Diceros bicornis minor: one gene and its partner. The protein of the gene in region 2 binds, or shares a complex with, the protein of the main gene of each other region. Links are inferred from orthologs where the notes say so. Each region holds a gene or a part of one and is shown on either strand. Other genes may lie near its edges.

Region 1 (7,863 bases), on a different chromosome or scaffold from region 2:
TAAATAAGAATCTAGTCATCAGCTTATTCAAGCCATGTTAATTTACTGAGTTGATATTGCTGGAATGTCTTTAAATAGCACCCAGACAACATACTCTTGCCACTGTCCAAGAACCAAAAGGGGATGCATTTCAATTAAACAAATATTTTTAAAGTATTTACTATGTGTCAGGCACTGTGCCAAGTTCTGGGAGATAATAATAAACAGCATGGACATAGTCTCTGCCCATGAAGCTTACAGTCTGGGAAAGATAGAGATGTGTGTGTAAGAGCTAGATATGTGTATAAGAAAGAAAGATATATGTGTGCAGTGTATGTAAAAACTTCTCAAGGCAAAAATGAAAAAAAAAAATTAAGAATCAGCATTTTAGTATTTCCAAAATAAAACCAACAGATATTTTCAAACACATCCCTTGTTCATCCTAATTGTACTTTATCTGGTTGCAATTATCAGCCTCTTCTGGGCAGAGATAGCAATGCTCACCAACTATTCCATATGTGCCCTCACATTTTCTAGATCCTTTGCAGTTAGGAGGGGTCATATGACTGATCTGGCCACTGGCCAATGAGCAGAATCATAGAAGAGCAGGTATGAGTTCTCATCCAGCTCTCTTCCCCTACCACCGTGAACGCCAAGGACTTGTGTGGAGATGGGGGATCCAGAAGATCAAAGTAGCTGAGACAATGAGTAAACCACATGAACGGAGGCCCTGGGGAGTTGTCTGAGCTGACAGAGAGCTTTATAGAGCGAGAAATAAACTTGCTGTTAAACCAAACTGTTGAACTGCTGTTAAATAAACTTTTGCTGAAATAACCTGTCCTTTCCTAATACACCATCTCATCATATCAAACAAAAAAGGTTCTGAATCTTCATAACAAAAGTTTATTTTGGTTTCCATTCATTCGGCAAACACTTATTGACCACCTACTATGTGTTAGGCACTCCTTTAGGTGCTAAAAATACCATGATGAACAAGACCAAATCCTCCCAGCTACAAGGAGCTTACGTTTTAGTGGAGAAGACAGACAATATACAAATAAATTTTTCAGGTAGTGATAAATACAACAAAGAGAAATCAAGACCTTGCTTCTTGATCCTGCCCCATTTTCACTGCCTCACCCCTCTCATGTCCTTACCTTCCTTACTCAACTCAGATTCTATGCTCTACCATTATATTCATCGTCCTGCCCATATCCTCAACTCACCCTCCTCTCCTTCCTTCATCCTTGCCTGACAAAATCCCAACCTGGTTAAATCCAAATCTTTGCCATCTTCACACCTCTTCCCAGGTAGCTGAATATGGCTACAGAAAACCAATCATGCTGACTGGTCTCCTTTTGACCTCATGACTAATCTCACTGGGTCCTCCCTGCAGCTTCCTGGCAACCCTCCTACATTCCCCAATCCATTTCTCCCCCACTCTCCTACATGACTAGCTCACATTTCCTCTCTCCTGAAACCTCCAACAGTCCGCTCCCATACTCTCTGTCAATGATTTTGCTCCTAATTTCACTGAGAAACTTAAAGCAATAAGAACTTAAACTCCAACTACATTTGCCAACCTCCATCCAGCGTCTGTACCCATATCCCCTGTCTTCCCGCCTGTTACTGTGTAGAAACTGCCCACTGTCCTATCGAAGGACAATTCCTTCACTTGAAGACTAGACTCCATCTCCTCTTATGTCCTGTGGTAGACATGGAGATGTGCCACCCAGATGCCCAGCTGCAGAGCCCGCAGTCAGCAGACAGCCCCCATCTGTCAGCTCCCTCAGGATCTGCCACAGCTCTGGAGTCACTTCACCAGAGGTCATGCCCTTCCTGGCACAGCTTGCGGGCAGTGACTGAGCAAGGCGGGGCTAATAAAAGCCCAGCCAGGCAGGACACTCTGGAGAGCAGTACTCACTCCAGAGCTCCCCTCAGGGTGGGCTGAGGCTTTGTCACATCAGCTTCACAGTGTGACCTCTTCCTCTGGCCAATCTGGCTTCCTCTCCCTTCCTTTAAGAGGTATTGATCCCTAAGAAACATCTGGTACCCCATATTCTGCTTCAGGATGTGCTTACAGAGAACCAACTTGACATACCTACTTTAGGTCAGCTCCAGCTACTGTCCTTTCCCTCTCTTCCATCATCAATTTTCCCCACTCTACTGATTCATTCCATCATCATATAAACATACAGTAATAGCTCCCTTCTTAAAAGACAAACTCCCTTTACGCTACTAGTCCATTTCTCTGCTCCCCTGAACAGCACAATTCCTAGAAAGAGTGTCTGAATCCATTCCTTGCCTACCTGTCTCTCTACATCCCCACTCCTGGCACCTTCATACTCACCATTCCACAGAAACAGCTCTTGTCACTGTCGCTGATAACATCATTGTTATATCCAGTGGTCAATTCTCAGTTCTCATCTCACTTGACCTTTTAGCAGCTTCTGACCCAGTTGATCATCGTCTCCCTCTTAGACACTTCTGAATCATCTGGCTTCTGAGATACAACTTTCGCTTGATTCTCCTCCCACTTCACTGGCAACAGCTGCTCCTTCTCATCTCCTTTGCGAGTTCCACTTCCTCTCCTGAACCTCTAAACACTAGAGAGCTCCAGGGTACAATCTTGACCCTCTCCTCATCTCTACCGATATTCACTCTGTTAGTGATCTCATCCAGTCTCAGGGCTTTAAATACCATATACATGTTGACAACGGCTAAATTTATATCTTGAGCTAAAGCTTCTTCCCCTGAATGCCAGACTCTCACATCCAACTGCCTATTCTGAATCTCCATTTAGATGCTAACAGGAAGCTTAAACCTAACACATCCAAAACAAAACAACTGATCCCCTTCCCCAACATCCCTTCCCTGCTCCCACCCAAAAAAGCCCTGCCCCCCACTAACCCCAGAGAACTTCCTCATCTCAGTAAATAGCTACTCTGTTCTGATTACTGAACCAAAAACTCAGAGTCAACATTGACTTCTGTCTCTTACACCCTACATCCAATACTTTAGAGAACTCTTTAGAATATATCCAGTCTGTCTCCACTGCTCTTATTTACTTAAGATCTCTTATCAAATGTCATCTTATTAACAAGATCTCCCTTAATTATCACAAATATGTAAAATAAAATCCCATCCACTCTACTGGTATTTCCTGTCTCCTTTAACCTGCTTTACTTTATCACTATTTGTCATACAATATATTCACTTGTTTATTTGTTCATTGCCTCAACTAGAATGTAAGCATAAAGATGGCAGGGCTTAGTCCCGCTCTCTAGCTCCTAGTGCCAGGCAGAGTAGGTGCTCAATTAATATTTTTGAGTGAAAGAATGGAAAAGGAATAGTGATGGCCTTGGGGGAGAAGCACTTGAGCACAGAAGCAATGATGTGAAGGTGCAAGACATTTGACGAATTCTGTGGGAAGGGCAGAAAAAAGTTAAGTGGAAAGCCCAAAGGTAGGAATGAGCTTGGCTTTATGGGGGAACATCAAAGGCCTGCGTGGCTGAAACAGCCAATGGTGTCAGACAGATGAGATCAGAGATTGCCAGCAACTATATTACATAGCACCTTGTAAATCATAAGTATTTTGAATTTTATTCCAAGTATGATGTGAAGCCACCACAAAGTTTTAAGCAAGAGAGTATCCAATCTGATAATTTTTTTAAAAAAATCACCTTGGCTGCTGTGTGACTATTGGCGGGTATGGGCGGCAATGTGGAAACCAGCCAACCAGTGAGAGGCTGTGTTGAAATACAAGCAAAAAAAGAGAGTGAGCAGGACTTGAGCGCCATCAGCAGAGTGAGAAAGGGTACAAAATTTGAGGGTAGAAATAATAGGATTTGCTTGTTTTGGAAAGAGCACAAATGGAAAAAAACAAGATTCAAAGAAAATGTCTAATTTTTGCCCTGCAATCTGGAGTCTATTCAGGCAAACTTAACGGATCACATTTCCATTAAGTCCACTGAATAAAAGCATCCTTTGGGCCGCTAGTGGTTGAGGAGTTGGGAGAAAATGCAGGGAATCACACACAGAAAGGGGGAGCATTTGAAGGGGGAAAAGCATCGCGTTCAGTTTTTGAAATGTTGAGTTTAAAACACCGTGGAGCCGGCCTAGGACTCTGCGAGAGAGGTCTGGACTGGACAATACCGTTCTAATACACACACACACACACACACACACACACACTTTCCCCCTACAGGTCAGGAAATCTATCTCTGTCTCTGGTGACGTGAACCTTCAACGTGTTAGGGTCTTTTTCTTCACCGTGCACCTTACAAGCGCTGGGGTCCTCAGAAATGCAGCAGATTCGGAGTCACCACCAGCACGGTCTCTGGGACCTAAACGAGATCGCTCATTTAGTAATCCCCCCACCTCGGTGAAATACTGCAGACAGCGACTTCGAGCTTTGGAAACTTCTTCCCGCCGCCCGCCCGCCCCCTCCCCGGCCCGTGACTGCTCCTCTTTTCCGGGAACGAACCGTGGAGACAATACACACGCAGGCCCCCTAGCGTTCTTCCGTTCAGCGCCGCCAGGCCGGCCCTCCGCCCGGGACGCCGCCTGCTCGCTCTTCCCGGCCGAGCGCCGGCCGGACGCCGGACGCCCGACGCAGCCCGGAGCGGGCCCCGAGCGCGCGGCCCCGGCGACCCCTCGCGGCCCCGCCCGCCCGGGCATCCCGAGGAAGCGCCCGGCCCGCCCCGCCTCCCCCACCCCGCGCGCGCCAACTCCCAGCTCGCGGCCCTGATTGGCCGCCGCATTCCCGCTTTCCTTCCCGAACCGCCATTTTGAAAATCTTGTTGATTCTGGGGAGCAGAGAGCGCGGCGCGAGCGTCAGGCCAGAGAGCGGCCCGCGCGCCTTTTCCTCGGCGCCCGCCGCCGCCTCTCGGAGCCTCCTTGTGCCCTCGCGCGCCAGGCCCGCGGCGGCCGGGACCCGCGGTGAGGGCCGCGGCGGGGGAGGGGAGGCCGAGAGGGCCCCGCGGGGCCCGCCGGCACCGCCGCGGCCATTTGGACGGCGGCCTGGGGCGGGGGAGGGGACGCGGCTCGGCGGGGCGGTGGGAGGGGCGGCGCGGCGCCCGCGCTTTCCCGCGGCGGGAATGCCCGGACGGCGGGCGGAGCGGGAGGGAAGCCGGCCCTGGGGACGGAGCGCCGCTGTCCCGGCTGCGGGAGGCGGCAACTTCAAGGCCGGGGTTCCCGCGGCCCCCGGCTTCCTGGGGCCGGGAAGGCTCGGCTGAGTCGCGGTGGCCGCCCCGCCCCTCCCGCCGGAGGCGAGGGGACCGAGGCGTCTGGCTTCCTCCCCGCCCGCAGGTCGGCAGCATGTCGTCCGGCGCTGCTGCGGAGGGAGAGGGGACCGCCGCGCAGCCCGCGTCTGAGAAAGAACCCGAGATGCCCGGCCCGAGAGAGGAAAGTGAGGAGGACGACGAGGACGAGGAGGAAGAGGAGGAAGAGGAGGAAGAAAAAGGTGGGGAGGAAGCCGTGTCCCTAGTGATGCATTTGACGGAAGACAGTTTTCTTGCTCTCTTTGCGCTTAGAGACGCTAAATCGGAGTGGTTTTCAGCAAGAAAGTTTGCGAAATTTATAGGGTTTTGTGTTGAGCAATAGCAGAGAATTAACTTTGTGAATTCTAATTTTTAAATACTCGTTAGTGTTGTTACGTGTTTGGGAATGCAGTTGCCGTCTCGCCGGCAGCGTATGGTCAGAGCATCTTATTTGACAGAAAGTTCGTAAGTTTCAGATCTGCTTTTTAAGACTCTTAGGCTTTGAAGTTACTAAGGTAATGTTTTGCTAACTTAAGTACACCTCTTTTGCTTTTTGAAGTGTTGTAAGATCTGTAATGAAACCACACGTTGAAACTGAAAGGAGTTATTAATGGTAGTCCTGGAAATATTTTAATAGTTTTAAGATATTGGGTGGACCTCAGCAGAGGTTTTTTTCAGAGGCTTCGGGGAGTTACTTTCACGGGGAAACACCGGTGAAAGCTGTTGCTACTTGTGAAAGTAGGTAAATAGGAAAGCGATGAACTCTGAAAGAAAGTTAAATAGGAGCTCAGAGAAGTCTCGGTTTTGTAGTTGAGAGCAGTGTTAGCCATCGTTTGACTGGAGGCGTGAAACAAAACCTTACGGAATTAAGGGGGATTAAGGAGTGCTACTGCCTTGGTTTATTCAAGATGCACAGGGCAGTGCCTCTTTGAGATATACCAACTTCCTAAGATGTTTCCAACCTCATAGGACTCCATATCACAGATTTTAGCATTCTTTGATGGTATTAGTCTACTCTAGGTTTATTTTATGTATGGCTACAACTCAGCCAAACTTGGGAAGAGGCCTGAAGTTTTCTTCCCAAGCCCAGGTATAACTGTCAATTTATTTTAGACCTAAACCAGCCCCTGGTCAGCATTTTATAAATACAATCTGGGTTGAGAATATGTGGTATGCCTTTTGTTTGTTGAAAGTGGTAGGCGCTCTAAGAAGGGAGCCTGCCCACGTTTAAGTGCAAAAACACCTAGAAAAAAATATAAATTATTTTAAAATTGTTCATAACGCAGTAACTAAAAATTGACTGCAGTATCTCGCTACTAGTCCAGGACTTTTTCAGCACTTTTTTCTCCAATTTTTTGTTTGTTTTTTCGTCTTTTTTAAGACACGGTTTGGATACCACAGAGATGATGAATTTCTTCATGTTAGGAAAAAATTATAGGAGTCATGTAAAAATACTATAAATGGCCAATACAGTAATGGTTGGGGGACTGATGGTGGTTCAGATTGTGATTTTTTTTTAACGTGAAAAATTTTTAAAAATCCCCGAGCAGTTCTCTGATTGTTCTAATATATTATTATATTTCCTTCATTTGAGGTGTTTGTGGAACGACTAAAATCATGAATGTTTTTATCCTGCTTAGCCCTGAAATTTTAACTCTGCTACTGAGACGTCATAGAAACCAGGCAATGAAGTCCGTGCCAAATAAGGCATGGAATTGACTTAACTTGGCAGTGGTTTTGGCAGGGGTGTGGAGGGGAGATGCCTGGTAAAAGATGACTCCTAGGTTTCTGCCTTTGACAGCTGGGTGGATAACATTAGTATTTTCTGAAAAATAGAATTCATGCAGGTGAGGGAGTTTGGAGATGATTGTGACTTATGTTTTGGATGCATTGAGTTGGGTGCCTGTAGGACATGAAATGGAGCTGTCCAGTTGGCAGCCTTGTTAGTTGATCTGCCGCTCAGGAGAAGGCTCTGGACTGAAGATAGACCAGGAAAGTCCTTGGCTTATGGATGGTAATCAAAGGCAAGCAAATGGTTTAAATCCCTTAGGGAAAGGAAGCTGAGTGATAACAGGTGTTGCTTCCAAGTGCTTTGTCTCCATTCCATACACGATTGCCAGAATATGCCTTCTAGAATCCCTTTCTCCTTGCTAACTCTTTCTGTGCAAGTCCTTACATCTGCAAATCTTACCTATCTTTCAAAGCCAGCTCCAGTGTTTTGATCCTTTTTCTCTAATACAAAACTAATTACTCTGTCATCAACTCACAGAACTTGTGTGTCTTTCTTAAGGTGTTTTATCATCTACTTTGGATTATAATATTTGTGTCTCATCACTCCCAGTAGACATGATCTATTCCAAGATACATTCAGTGTCTTAATCATCTGTTCATCCCCCCTTAGTGTCTAGTGCAGCTTTGCACAAAACCTTCAGTCAAATGAACGGAAGGACCTCCAACAGTATAGTGTTCTCTTATTTATCTGACTTTATCTCAGTCAGTAGGTAAATGGTTTTAGATACATCAAGGTTAATGTTTTAAGTTTTAAAGTATATGTTGTATATTTTCCAGCTTTTTTTTTTTAAGCAGTCTAGACTAAACAGAATTTAACTTTTTTAGAATGATT
Region 2 (7,398 bases):
GGAGGGGGCAGAGGGGACTCAGGGGGCAGCCACCAAAGAGGAACGGCCAGGGCGCCTGGGGCAGCAGGGACACCCCCAGGCCACACTGCGAACCTGCTGATGGCCAGCTGCGGCCCCAGGGAGAGCCCATCCGCCCAACTCCCTCACACCTGGGGATATTCTCGTCTGAGAACAGGTTGACCGATCCCATCAGCTTCTCGAGCTCTGCGGGCACCTTCTGCTGGGCCAGGAGGAAGAGCTGCAGGTGCTCAGGGGAGCCAAGTACGGAATTCAAGTCGGCCTTGAGGACCTTCGGCAGGACCTCCTGCAACGTGGCCTCTGGGACCTGGGGTGGGGAGACGGATTGATGAAGGGTGGCTTCCTCACGGCACCTTTTGTCTTTCCCTGTGGAGTGAGCCCTATGGGCCCTGGTCTACCTGCCAGGCTCCTGTGAGGCCCCTGGCACAGTGCCAGCCTGAGGTGGCACAGCCACAATCCACCTTGCTGGACATCAGAATCACCAGAGGGCATTTGTTAAAAAGCTCAAATTCCCAAGTCCCAGGAAGCTGGGTTTCCATCCCAGGAAGCTAGGCTTTCAACAAACACCCCGCTGATGCCAACTGGCCCAGGGCTACCCTTTTAATTATTCCTCTTTTGGGTTTTCAGGACTAGCCCATTTCTTACACAAGGAACCCCAAATGGAGAGCTAGGATTTGAATCTAGGTTCTTCTGGCTTCTGCAGCCCGGGCTGCGCAGAGAGCCCTGGCCCAGGATGTGCCAGTCCCCGTCTTTTCCTCAGTAGCAAAGGATTCTGGGTACCAGCCTACCTCCATTTCTCAAGTAGGGCAGTGGGGGCCCCTGAGGGGTCAGCTTTGCCCCAGACAACAGCAAACGTGTTTAATATACTTGCCACATGCCAGGCACTGTTCTAGAACTGCACTGCCCAATATGGCAGCCACTGGCCACATGTGCCTACTGAGCACTCGGAATGTGCAAGTCTGAATGGAAATGTGCCGTATGCATAAAATACACAGTGGGTTTTGGAGACTTAATACAACAAAAAACGTAACGCATCTCTACAATTTTTTTATACTGATTGCATACTGAAATAATACCTTAGAGATATTAGGTTAACTGAAATTTGTTACTAACTACACTTGTTTATTTTTACCTTTTAACGTAGTTACTAAAAATGTCAAGTTACATACTTTTATGTTTCTATGGGCTAGCGCTGCTCTAGAGCATGAACTGAGCCTTCTCCATGTTTCTATAACACGTAGCGCTACCCGAGGTCCCACAGCTGGTCAGCCCGTACGTACCTCAGAGAGGATGTCCACCAGGGCCTTCTGGGGCTGCTCCTGCAAGTGGTTGTAGTAGTGGGCCAGGGTCTGGAGCAGCTTCACCGACTTCATCAGTGCCTCCGAGTCCTGGTACTCACAGAGGGGGAGAGGGTATGAGCAGGGCATGCCACTGCCCCCCAAGCCTGTCCCCCTACCCGCTGTACTCCCAAAGCTCTTACCTTCACCAGCCTGCCTGACTGAAAGAGAGCTAGCACTCCAAACAGGTTTGCAAAGAGAGCAGGTCTCATCATTGCCTAGAAAAAGGATTCCACACACCGGTGAGAAGGGCCTGAGTATTCCCCACTCCAGCCAGGGCAGGGCTGCTGACCCCCCTGGGGCCACTAACTCTCACCTTCTTAACCTTCTGCAGGTCATGCTTCTCTTGTATCTGCTGCAGGATGCTGCACAAGGGTATGTCTTCGAAAGACTGCAACAGCTGCCAGGAGTTGTGGCAGGAGGGAGAGAGGGATTCAGAGGAGTGGTCCAGCCACATTCCAGTGGACTCAACCCCCTCCCACTTCTCCCTTCAACTTCTGCCCAGAGGCCTGGGGCCCCTGCTCCCACTCCAAGGATGCCTCTGAAGCTGCTCACTCCCCTCTGAGCACCGCTGATGATGAACTCTGCTGCTTGAATGCAGCTGAATCTTGCCTCCTTGCCCCATGCCCCCCTGGGCTCAGAAAGTACCTCCTTTGGTCCCTAGATCCCTCCACTGAGATTCCCAGACACTGTCCCCACAGCCTGCTCTGAGGTCCTCCCAGGCTGATCCTAAAGCACTGGATCTTTATCGCCCTTCCAGTTGTCCACGTTCCTCAGCCTCGTGCTCCTTGTGGGGGGAGAGGGCCCTGAACCTTGCAGAGATAAGGGAACCCCCCACCCCCCACAAAGCTTACCACTCCCAGTAAATGTATCTAAGAGGCCGATCAATCGTGTACAAGAAAGAACCTGCTCCAGCTCCCACTCCATCTGCCTGGGCTTCTCTGCTGACAGGCCTGCTCACACACGTTCTCTACCTCCACGTGGGGACGCCTCCCATCAGCTCAGATGCCACCCCCAACTTCTCCCTCAGACCAGTGCCTCTTCCTCTGCAGCTGAGACATCTGCTCTCCTCACCCCACACCGTTTTGACCAGCACGGCTAGGCTCCTTCCCGGAGCCACCACCTCACCTGTGCCAGGGCCAGACTGTAGCAAGGCCGGGCGGTTTCTCGCCCGACCCCGAGGCCAGTGATGAGGCGCTTCAGGGCGTACTTCATCTCGGATCCCTGCGGAACCAAGGGCATCCTCCGGTCGACCAGTGAGAAGAATCGTCCCGCACCCGCCCACCCCCGCACCCCGATCGCGCTCAGCTGGGCATCCAGGTTCGCGACCACGTGCCCCACGTCCCAACCCCTGGGGCCCGCCGCCACAACTGTGCCGGGATCTACGCAGTCCCCTGCCCCAGGCCCCGCCACCATACCTCTGGCCTTGTGCGCAGATACTCCAGCAGCTTCTCCGTGGCCTCAAGCCGCGTCTCCTGCTGCGGCTTCGCAATGTCCCAGAAGAAGTCCAAGAACTCGCGGCTGTGCTTCAGCAGACCATGGCGGTCGGCAGGCCGGGCGCCGCTCTTCGTCGCTCCCCCCGGGGACATAGTCTCTGCGACGTCCTCACTCTCCATCTCCGCCATGCTCCTCGAACACGTGGGCTCCGAAGACAGCCTCTTCCAGGTCAGGTCGCGGCGCATGCGCACTGGATTGGGTCGGCTGGGAGGCGGGGCCCGGAGGGGGCTGGGCCGGCCGCGGTTCTTATGCTCTCACTCCGGGAGACCAGGAGTTTGGGGTTTATTCTGAGCGTGATGGGAAGTCATTGGAGGGTTTTGTGCAAGCGCAAGCCTTGATTCCATTTACATTTTTAAAAGATTATTCTGTCGCTGTGTGGGGGATGGACTGTAGGAGTGCAAAGGCAGAAGCAGGAAGGACAGAGACAGTGGTGGATTGGCCAAGGTAACACAGGAACAGGCCAGGTTCCAGCTAACTTGGAGCCGGTAGGGGGTGATGGATGTTGGGGGGAGAGGAAAAGAGAGGGATGGCAGGTTTGGGGCTAAAATAACCGCGCAGATCGTGGTACCATTTACTGAGCTGGGGAAGAACTTTCTTTGGTGGGGGGGAGGTGGAGGTGGTGGGATCAAGAGTTCCATTAAATGAGAGATGCCTTTTACAGTGGGGGGAGGAGTGCACCCCCGCTTCTTGACTTGAGAAGCTGTCTCTGGAGGGCTGTGGTCCAGAGAGGCCCCCACTCTCTGGGAGAGGGGGGAGGTCAGGGCTAAACTCGGCCTGTAAATTCCACACACCCAGCTCCAGCCGGTTTTGTACCCAGGGACACCCTCTCAACCCCTCCCTTGCTCTGCTGTCTGTTTTAGAAAGTGAGAGTAAGAGGTTTATCTTGTATGTATGGTGCCCCAGGAGGCAGGAGGTGCGCAGAGCGGGGGGAGCTGAAGGACACCAGCCCGGGCTCTGCCTCTCTGGCTGTGGGTCTGCTGTGCTGCCCATGGGGGAAGCCCTGACACCAGGCACCTCAAAGGCTGAAGGGAAATTTTACAAGAAGCAGGAATGGCACATGGCATCCAGGAGACGTGATCTTTATTTCCTTTCCAGCCCATTGAGGGAGATCAGCAGAGGGTGGCCTGAAGGGGAGGACGGAGATGCCAGCAGTACTCCAGGCTCTGCCTGCCCTGTCCGTGGGGCCCAGAACCCAGCCGGGGCTTGGCTTTCTTCCCCCTGTCCTTCCCAGAGCTGGATCTGAACTCGGGGCTGGCCCCAGGCCCTGCTGCCCCTTCCTTATTATCTTCAGGTTCCTTAGATGAAAAAAGAGCCAGAACTCTAGTCCAGGTAACTGACCAGGCCAGAGGTTGAGGGCTTGAGCCAGCAATGAACACATCATCGATGCACACTTTTATGCACTCCATGGCTGCTGGGCCTGCTCTGCCCCTGCGTCCAGGCTTGAGACCCCACCCCCCCATTCCCTGTCAGACACTCTCCCCGCTTAGAACCCCTGGAAGGGGCAGCAGCCATTGGGGACACTGGAGACGTGGGCATGCTCTGCATGTGCTGCCACCTGGAGCAGGGTCCCTTGGCCACAAATGCTGGGGCTCTCTGTTTGTCCTTGCTGGGCCTGGGTTTGGGGCCCGGCCAGGTGGCTGAGCAGGGTGCGAGTCGTGACTCTGGCCACTGCGGGGGTCCCTGAAGCCACCAGCCCCAACACGTCGGCCTCTGTGTCATCCAGGCTGCCACGAAGGATGAGGGGGCAGGCCCAGGCACTAGTTGCAGACTTGGCCACAAGGTTGCTGAGTAGAACCCCGGTGCTTGGGGACAGGTGTCCAGAGCCGAAGGAGCTGTTGAGCGAGGAGGTGAGAAGGAGCACAGAGCCGCTGCTGTCCACGGTAGCCAGGGCACTGCTCCCGGGGGTCACAGTAGCTTGTAGGAGTGGTGGGCAGGGGTCAGGGCTGGGCCCTCCGGAGTGTAGGGCTGCCTTCAGCAGTGCCAGCAGCTCTGGGCCAGCTGAGGGGCTGGGGGTGGTGAACAGGATGCCCTGGGGCACAGGGAGCTGCAGTGCTGGCTCCAGGGTGGGCCTGGGCCCTGCTGAGGGTCCCTCCATCCCCAGGTCTCTGGCCAGCAGATTCAGTAGGGCCTCCCCAGCAAGGTCTGGGGTGGGGGCGAGGGCTGCCTTGTGTAGCACGGCCGCCAGTTTTGGGTTGGTGGCTCGGGCCCCAGGGCCCAAGGGGGTCCCGTCAGTGTGGCAAAGGAGTGGACAGAGGCCCTTCGTGCCCTGGGCTGCCAGAGCCCTGGCCAGGGTTGTGTCTACCAGGAAGCCCTCTTGAGCCAGCGTGGAGGGGCCCACCAGCAGGCGTGGCCAGGGCAGGCGGCCGAAGCGTGTGTGCAGCAAGCGCAGGGTAGGCAGAGCCGAGGGCAGCCCCAGGCCGGGGGCCAGGATCTGGGCTGGACCTGACGTCAGGGCAATTGAATTGCCTGAGGAGCTATTGTGGAAGAGGCCCCAGAACATGGCACCTGAGGGGAGAGAAAGGGGTCACACCGGGGTAAGCGGCACTGACTGGGATCAGGGTCACTGACTTAGCCTGGGGTCAGGAGTTCCTGACTAGGCCTGAAGATGGGTCAATAACCAGGCCTGGGGTCAAGATCACACAAACTTGGGATCAAGGGTCACAGCCAAGGTCGGGGCTACTGCCCAAGTCCTAGGTCCTACTCACTAACCAGCCCTGAGGTGAGGGCCGCTGACTGTCTGAGTTCCAGGTCACCCATCAGGCCTGGGGTTGGGGTCTCTGTCTGGGGTCGTGGGTCACTGACCTAGCCCTGTGGCATGAGGATGCACCACTGCCAGACACAAAGCTGCTCCAACTCCAGCGTCCACGACATTGCCCCCAGCAACAAGCAGCTCTCGGCCCAGGTGGGAGCACGTGGCTGTAGCAAAGAAGGGCCTGTCATGGGGAGGGGCCTGGGACCAGTCACCCCGGCTCCTCCACTCCCCTGAGCTGCCCCCAGCACTGACCTGCAGGGCTGATGATGGCTCCATGGTGGTATACGCCGGGGCGGTGGGAGTGCCCGCTGGGCAGAGGGGCCACAGAGCCCAGGGGTTCTGAAGAGCCACCCCTGGTGTGGAGTTGCCACACAGCCAGGGAGAAGCCAACAGCCAGCAGCAGCAGGGCGGCAACCAGTCGGGCCCAGGCTCCGGGCAGACCACCAACATTATTCCTGCAGAGGGGGGTGTCCTGAACCGGGGCTGGGGCAGGGGACACCCAAGAGCCCCAGAGAACCCAGAGAATATTTCCCAGAAGGTTTGGTCTTGCTTGCAAGAGGAATACAAGTTCACTGAGGAGAAGGGCTTCCTGGCAGAGGGCACATCGTGGATGGAGACCTGGGGATGGGAAAGATCATAGGGAAACTGGGGACAGCTGGGAAGGAATCTCTGGAGAGGAGGTTGGAGAGGCAGGGTTGAGCCAATCAGGAGGGAGGCCTGAGGAGCAGGGCCTAGCCAGGTGTAGCCTGCCCAGCAGGTGCCTTTTGCACCAGGGGGTGGAGGCTGGGAACTTTGACAGAGCAGCTGGCAGGGCTGGCTTGGTACAAATGTCCCTTCAGAAGCACAGACCTTGGATTGACTGGTGCTGGCCAGGTCGGGGGCTGCAGCCTAGGTTCCCCGCATTCAACTAGAAAGTTCCTGGAGCTGAGCCAAGCACGAAGTTGTCTGGCCCCCCTTATGGGCTCAGGCCTGAGTTGCCGGGTGCCCAGACCCCTGCCTGACTCACCCAGAGGAGTCCTGGGGCCGCCAGGGGTTGGGAACGAGTGGCTCTGCTGTCTCCTCCTCTTCCTCCTCTTCCTCCTCAGACTCCGAGCGCGGCTCCCAGAGCAGCAGCTTCTGGTAGTGCACAGGCCCTGCAGTGGGTTCCATGGCCCCGCGGTGCCGCCCCAGCCCTCCTGCCTGTCAGCCTTCTCAGCTGAGTCTCCGGAGGCCCGGCCGGAGCCGGGTGGGTGGGAGGTGGAGGCTGCCTGGGGGAAGGGTGGTGTGGAATCTAGAACAGGTCTGGGCAGGGCACGGGGCCAGGGAGGCTGCGAGTGAGCCTGCCCCATTAGGGCACAGGGCCGCTTACTGCAGGGACCCTGTCGGGAGCCGAAGCTCAGTGAGGTAGGAGGAGCCCAGTCCTAGGGCCATGGCCACAGGCCTGAGACCTGGTGCCCACTGGTCCCCTCCCTTTAGGGGATGTAGCCCTGGATCCCTTGGCCTGTTCGGGACTCTAATCTGGGACAGTGGAGCTTGGATTAAAACTACAGTCACATTGTGGCTTGGATCAGGGCTCAGCATGTGACTAGTTCTGGTGTGGGAGCATCTGGTCTCTGGCTGAGGTCAAGGCTCAATCTGAGGTCACTTCAGGGATCTGGATTTCTCCATCTGGGGAGCAACTTCTTGGGTGATGAAGGTTAACCACCTGGGCATGTCATGTGGCTCTTGTCCAGCAGGTGGCACCACAGACCTCTCAGGGAGTGGCAGCCTGGAAACCAGGAGTTTCCAAGTTCCTTCCCTCTGGGATTCATATCA

Evidence for each region. Proteins that work in one complex are often made in the same cells at the same time.
Region 1: MYBBP1A (region 2) and DEK share a complex: the UniProt entries of both Homo sapiens proteins name them as parts of the B-WICH complex. The link is inferred for Diceros bicornis minor from reciprocal best matches to the Homo sapiens genes MYBBP1A and DEK.

What each region holds. Positions count from the first base shown.
Region 1 is NC_080753.1:49,225,084-49,232,946, forward strand, and holds the start of DEK (protein DEK), read left to right. Parts: upstream 1-4,810; 5' UTR 4,811-4,920; intron 4,921-5,289; 5' UTR 5,290-5,298; coding exon 5,299-5,443; intron 5,444-7,863. UniProt on the Homo sapiens protein: Involved in chromatin organization.
Region 2 is NC_080757.1:13,301,346-13,308,743, reverse strand, and holds the start of MYBBP1A (myb-binding protein 1A), read right to left. Parts: upstream 3,005-7,398; 5' UTR 2,981-3,004; coding exon 2,774-2,980; intron 2,580-2,773; coding exon 2,484-2,579; intron 1,756-2,483; coding exon 1,672-1,755; intron 1,574-1,671; coding exon 1,499-1,573; intron 1,407-1,498; coding exon 1,299-1,406; intron 326-1,298; coding exon 150-325; intron 1-149. UniProt on the Homo sapiens protein: May activate or repress transcription via interactions with sequence specific DNA-binding proteins. Repression may be mediated at least in part by histone deacetylase activity (HDAC activity).